Linked DNA regions of Coturnix japonica. The protein of the gene in region 2 interacts with the protein of the main gene of each other region in a pairwise test. Links are inferred from orthologs where the notes say so. Each region holds a gene or a part of one and is shown on either strand. Other genes may lie near its edges. The genes, in order: CNKSR2 and TNIK.

Region 1 (3,046 bases), on a different chromosome or scaffold from region 2:
TTTAGCCTGCGAAACTTCCTCCGTGAAGGCCACAGTCTTCCAAAAAATGTTTTTAAATACTTCTATCTAATAGTTAAAGTTCATGTTCATTATTTCACAGAAGGTAAACACAGGTGGAGCATTGGTAGTGTATAAAAAACACAAATCCTCATTAAAGACATGGTATCATAGACCATTAAAAGTGTACTTCACACAGTTGAGAGACATTAAAAGATAATTTACTAGAAGTCCCACATATTGATATAAAACCTAATATATGCACTTATTTAAAGGCTCGGAGTGTAGCAAATGGAGGGTCCCTTATACATGTGTTTCAATGTAGGAGTGCGTGTGCGCTAAGGAAGCTATAAGTGCGTCAACCTCAGATGAGCCATTAACAGAGCCCCTCGGGGTGCTGTTGTGACAGATGTCCAAAAAGATGTCAAAGTATATTTGTTTCCATTCTTGAAAGTCTCTAGATGTCAAAGCTGGATTATCCAGAACCTTGTCTATAATGGCTACTTCTCCTTCTCTGGCCTGTGGGAGAAGAAAGACAAGTAGAGTCAGTGTGGGCAATGAGCAAACAGCATGGGTAGGGTGGGAGCAAGGATGCCACAGAGGTCTGGGAAACAGGGCTGCTGTGATACTGCTCATATGTGGCAGCCTCTTTCCATGATGTCACTCATCACCCTGCAGGACTGGGCACTCCTCACTTTGTCCCACACCCTCAGCAATGGCCCCTACTCCCCTCTCACCCCTTGTTCAGCTCCTACAAAAAAAAAAAAAAAAAAAAAAAGCCCTGAGCTGTTTACTACTAGCTGCTTTAATTTTCAGGATCGGTTTCATGCTGCCAAGCGCCATCTGTTTGCTCTTCTTGATCAGCATGAGAAATACCGTGTTTGTGCGTGGGATGCAGACAGATGGCCCCTCGCCCGCCAGCAGAGCTAAGCCTTTTTTACAGGGCCTGTCATGGGGACACCTGAGCAAATGCCTGTGCTAGGAATCTTCAGCTTGGTAATGTCCTCACCAGCAGTTCATGCTGTGGGGTGGCTGGCTGCTACCTTCTCCTACCATGGTGGTGGCAAGCAGAATGCAGGAATGGGTAAAATCTAACACAGCTGTTGGCACCTCCCCACTTGTCACGGGGGCAGGGGATGTGGCTGTATCCCAATCACTGACTGGTGATTAGCTTATTGAGAGATGACAAGCAGCCAGCATGGGTCAGAGCAAGCTGCAGATACACACACAGCTGCTCACTGTTTTTATTAGTGGTGGAAGATGGATGCACCAGCCTTGAGCCTGAAAGAACAAGTAACAGGCAAGATCCAGCACTGCTCCTTTGTGTAGGCATGGTCTGGTCACCAGGAACTTCTCTATTCCCCATGTCAGATGGGTTTCACAGACCTCACTTCTAACTGACATTTGCCATGTTTATTCTGCAAATGTGGTAAACCTCTCTAGGGAGCATGTTAAGGGAAGTATTCAGCAATGTCAGCTCATGTTGGTGGAACAGTTATCAGAAGGGTCAGAGATGTCATTAACAAGTAGTATGTTTAAAGGTATTTTTCATGCTTTGCAATCAGTAGCTAATTAATGCTATATGCTAGAATACTCAATTTCAGGAACAGCTGTGGCTAACCAGAGGAAGATAACCTTTGGAATTCCTCAGTTACCATATATTTGCATGAACTGCCATAACGTGCTTCTTGCAGGTTGTCACCTGTACACACAAACCAGCACTGCCATACTTGCTGAAGAGAATGGTTTTGTGGCTATGTCAGGACAAAGAAAGCAGAAAGGTCTTTCCATTGCTGATGGAACAGATAGCCTATGGGTGGTGTGAGCTAGAACCAACTTAGAGGGCTGTACAGATTACTAATCATTTTAATGAATTAAGGGAAAGTTCAGAACACCAAATCCAATGGGCAAGTGCAAGTGAACATATTCAGGAAGGAGAACTCAATGGCATTGATCAAAATGGGGTACAATTGATTAGCTAACAGCAGTAGCTCCTGATAAATGCTACTACCAGTACAATAGCAGAGGTGAGCTAGGATGGAGCTAGAAACAATTAATGAGTTACCGTGATGCCTCTGCAAAACAGGCACACGTCACGTTGCACTGTTGCCATATGCAAGAAACAGCAATAATCTGTCTTTGATACTTGCTGGCATTGCACTGTCAATTATTTATGTCATTCTGGTCCAAATAAGATTGGTGACTAGTTCAGAAAATATGTGTCATGGAAAGAGAATAAACAAATTATGTTTGCTTGGTCTAAAAGAAAGAAGATACAGAGAAGTATGAAAACAAGCATCTGCTGGGTTAAAGGGATGAGCTGTTTTTAGAAGACCCTGGAGAGAAAACAATTCCATTTGTAGAAAACCACTGGCATAATGTAACTCAGGTATCAGTAAATGCTAGCAAGAAAGGCAATTAAGCATGATGATAAGCTGCTGATATGGAACAGCAGCAAGGCTGTGTAATTCCTGCAAGTATCAAGAAATGTGTTATTTTTTATATTTCAGATTAGCAACTCTAACATACTGTTGGCATGAAGGATTCCACCAAGGTGCAACAGCAGAGATTCTGTGTGAATTTCCTACCTGTTCTGCATATCTGAGGTGGCTATGATTTTGCTTCAGTTTCTCCTGTAAAAATTACATGGAAAGCCTGAGCACCTTGTCTTTTTGCTATCAGTCTACAATCTAGCAAAGACTCACATACCCTGGTTCATTCAGTTGCCTTCAATGAGATGATACAGTGCAAAAAGTTAAACATAGAAAAGACTTTCTTCAGGGCTGGAGTCTCACAGCATGAAAATAATATTGCTTAAATGCTTCTCTAGGTGATGGAAAACCAAAGTAATTAATGCTGGTAAAACTCTCTTTGATAAAAACTGTTAGAAAATCCACTGTACAATTATCTAGTGACTTAAAATGTAGTAATTTAATACAGTTAACAGAGACCCTGGGGAAATCCAGCATATTGTTTGCTGAAATCTCTAACAGTACAGATTTGCTGTAACGAATAAAGAAGCTGACAGGGAGGTCAAATTAGCTTCACT
Region 2 (3,825 bases):
AGTACTAGCGCTGAAGTAGATGAAAAGGGAGAGAAAAACAGCAGGTCACTCTCCTGCACTTTCTTGATACAGAATTCACACTGCAGAAGGGGAGGGGACCTTGCAAAATAACTATGGAAAATAAAGCCAGCCTGATTTCACTCTCTGTGGTTGAAGCAAGCAAACAAGGTTAAAAAAAATCCCCTAAAACCTCAACTCTGCTTTATTAAAAGACATTTGGTGAGCTTTCTACAACGTCTGCAATGAAGCCTCCCAGGATAAGCAGTATTAATGCTTCATTGGTAGCCATAAGCGGCACATATCACATCTCTACGGCTACAGGCTTCACAACATTTCTGCCAGGGGAAGTACAGCGATGATAAGGCTTTTGAGGAGAGGTTTTGTTTGTGTCCTTGGGGTCTGAAGGCCCTGGCACCGCACAGCAAGACTGAAAGGAAATCCTGTGGGTGCTTATCTTCATTGGTCCTCAAGAGGAGCCGGACTGTGTAGGCAAAACATCTTCCTACACCACACAGTATAGAAACCTCATGTATTTACAATCACAGAGTATTGTGGGAACAAGGCACACATACCTTAAATGCCATAAACTTGTGATATGGTTTAGGAGCCCAAGCATAGATCTCTACAGCATTCTTTAAGGCAATCACCAGGAACTTGATTCTTTCGTATTTCACTAAAATTAGAATAAAAGATGTTTAAAACATTCTTTTTTTGCTTCAAGACAGCACAGTTTATCTCCAGAAGCAGCTGCTAAGGCTCTCTGTTGGTTCTCATGCAGTAGTGTCCACCTAATACATACAGACCAATAGTAAAATTATTTCTGGCTGCAGTTTACCCATACTTTCAATAGAAATCATCAGATCAGATCTAGGGCTACAGAATAAAAATCCCCAAAGACTCCAAGTATCTTTTGCTTGTAATTTTTGCAGCACACGATCAATGTGATAAACTGGAAGATGTTTACCAAGGCATTTTATCACACAGGCTGTGACTGAGGCACTCCCAATACTGAGGAGCAGATGAGCAGCCCTGGGCAGTCCAGTGAGCATCACCCTCCCCAGGCTCAGAGCTGTAGGCACACAGCCCCTTCTCATTGCTGAACCTCCCAGCTGCTCATTTCATGGCTGAACTGGGAACTACAAATGCCTCCATGTGTTTTTGCACCACAGCCTCCCACAGCATGGGAACCCCAGCCACTCACCGACTTTGTAGTGGATGCAGCCTTCCAGGTCCCCAACTGTGATCCAGCCCTGCTTCTTCTCTACTTCAGGGTCATTGTGTAAAATCCTGTTTCTCAGCCAGGAGAGATAGTACACTCGCAGCTTATTCTTCTTTCCTGTTGGCAAAGGAAACTCAGCCGTAAGAGGCAGAAAGAGGTAACAAAGCAGCACGCAGCCCCAGGAACAGCCCTGGGCTCCAGTCCTCTGTGCACAGCCACGCTGGGTTTGCATGGGAAACCCTGAGATTCCAATGTTTATTTTCCCTCAAGGAAGATAAAAGTAAAGCTCTTTCCACAATGAAATTGAAAAGCTTCCCAGATTCGATGACCGACCATCCTCTGCAGGATTCCCACATTAATTTCCACATTCTCATTTCCTGCATTTGGAACCAGGTCAGTGATGGGGTGAGAGTTGTACCTGATATTGTCACAAGGACATTCAAGCCCTCGAGTACGTCCATCTGCTGGAACCGCCGTCTGTTGATTAGGTTGTAGACCTTCCCTTGCCCGCTTCGGTCCAGCAGCATCAGGCCATTTTCTGTGCCCACCAGCAGATTTACACCTGAAACAGAGAGACCAATGGGCACAAGGAGCCACGGCTGCTGCCCACCAGAGGATTACAGCCCAAGTTCATTCTCTGCTATCTCTAAGTGACAATTGTAACTAAGGGCAGCATTCTCATAGACAAGAAGCATCGTTCTTATACTGAAGGGTCCCAGGGACATAAGCCTTGCACAAGATAGAGACAACCACAGCGGGACAACCAGAGGCATGAACCAGGTTCTGCCATGAAGTATTGATGCTGCATTGCCATTAAGCTCATCTGAGGGGACGATGTAACCAGGAGCTCACCCCACAAAGCAGCACACAGTATCTCTGAGTTGAAGCGCTTCTTATACTTCCTTATCTCCGGGGTGTCACTGTGGGGACGGATGTTGGTGGGGTTCACGTTCACCACAGAGATCTTCCTGGCTTCATTCAGCTTGGCCTGCTCCTGTCTGAGCAGCTCACTGGTGAACAGTGCTAACAAGGAAACAACAGGACAGTGAGGTTTGATTGGTTAATGGAAGCAAATTCTTGATTATTATTATATGTTATATTATATACAAATATATACTATTATCTATTATTGTTTCTTTTTTTTTTTTTTTTTTTTTTTTTTTTGACAGGGATGTCATCACTCTGTTATAATCTGAAAGTTTGGAGAGATAACAGCAGTATTTTCTCATAGGTTGGAAGCAACACTAAAGCGGTAACAGGCAGCATCCTCCAGCACTGCCCACAGGGATGACCAGCCCTAACCCTGTCCACATGCATCTGTTTTCAATGAGTTCTAAGGAACTGCAAGCTTTTTGGAGTGAATGCCACCTCCTGGCTCTGCCAGGAACAACTCTCCCAGGTGCCCAGGCAGAGAGGGATGGGTGGACTTCTGCTATTCCGAATTCTCTCTTTCTGGGGTTATTTCACTGGTGATGGGGAGAAGGAATTGGATGGAAATTGGAATGTACAAGGGTATAAACACAAGAGTAAATGAAATCTGAGAGGTTCAAGGGGGTTATTCAGGCTTCACAAAAGGTCACATTGTCTCCTACCAGTAGCAGATGACTCTTCGTCCTCATCTTCATCTTCATCGGTAGGCGAGGTCTGATACACTCTGGTGTCCACAAAGGGGGTGAAAGAAGCTTTGGTGCTACTTCCCATTCCATACTGCAAAATAAAAAGCACAGAGAGAGCTCAGAGCACAGAAATAACACTAACACTTGGTGTGTGTGGCTTTGCAATGGGAACACAGCACCTGTCCCTGCAGCGCCCTTTGTGAGCCCTCTGTGAACATTTACTCCTCCTCCCCCAGAAGTCATCATGGATGACATTCCATTGGATTTGTGGATGCCTCTGGAGCAGCAGAGAACAAGAAGTGCAGGCACAGGGTTGCAGTGCCCAGTGCCACGGGCTTGGCTCGCAGGTAGAAGCACAGCACAGCCAGACTGGTTAGCGGAGAAGCCGCAGTGTCAGAGGCAAAAGTGAACGCAGGGCTAAACAACTTCTCTGAGCACAGCACACCTGTCTTAAAGCCCAGGATGGGACATCAGTGGTAAGGGGTTGTTTCTCCTGTTAATGCAACTGCCCCACATGAGCCCTGGGGAAAACCCCACGGCAGTGCTCAGCATAGGACAGGGAATGAAGAGGTGAGAACACAGCACATCCCACACTGCTCCATCCTCCCCAGCTCTGGTCTCCACCACATGTCACTTGTATGGCAGGGATGGGTTACTTGCAATTCCAAGGAAGTATTTTAGATTGTCTACAGCGTTTCAGGTGAGGCTGCAGAAAAAGCCATTTCTAAGTCAGGAAAACTGAACCTGAACATATTGTAGGGAAGGCCAGAGCCAACACTTTACCAAGGGGATCTGAATAGGAACAAATGGCAGCACCACGTTGCTTTCTTTTTAAAACCATTGCTTTGTTAAGGCAGAAAACAAAGCAAAGCTTTCTCCCAAGCAAAATGACAGCCTTACTTGGGAGTCAAAGTGCCACCATTCTTCTTATTACAGTATTTATCCAGGGTGCTCTTTATTTGTGACCTACATTAAGAGCCGTAACAGCAG

What was found.
Region 1: the proteins of TNIK (region 2) and CNKSR2 interact in a two-hybrid assay, tested with the Homo sapiens proteins (2 studies listed by BioGRID and IntAct). The link is inferred for Coturnix japonica from reciprocal best matches to the Homo sapiens genes TNIK and CNKSR2.

What each region holds. Positions count from the first base shown.
Region 1 is NC_029516.1:106,570,788-106,573,833, reverse strand, and holds part of CNKSR2 (connector enhancer of kinase suppressor of ras 2), read right to left. Parts: intron 517-3,046; coding exon 301-516; 3' UTR 1-300.
Region 2 is NC_029524.1:17,419,597-17,423,421, reverse strand, and holds part of TNIK (TRAF2 and NCK-interacting protein kinase), read right to left. Parts: intron 2,927-3,825; coding exon 2,812-2,926; intron 2,243-2,811; coding exon 2,072-2,242; intron 1,782-2,071; coding exon 1,638-1,781; intron 1,337-1,637; coding exon 1,202-1,336; intron 674-1,201; coding exon 573-673; intron 1-572. UniProt on the Homo sapiens protein: Serine/threonine kinase that acts as an essential activator of the Wnt signaling pathway. Recruited to promoters of Wnt target genes and required to activate their expression. May act by phosphorylating TCF4/TCF7L2.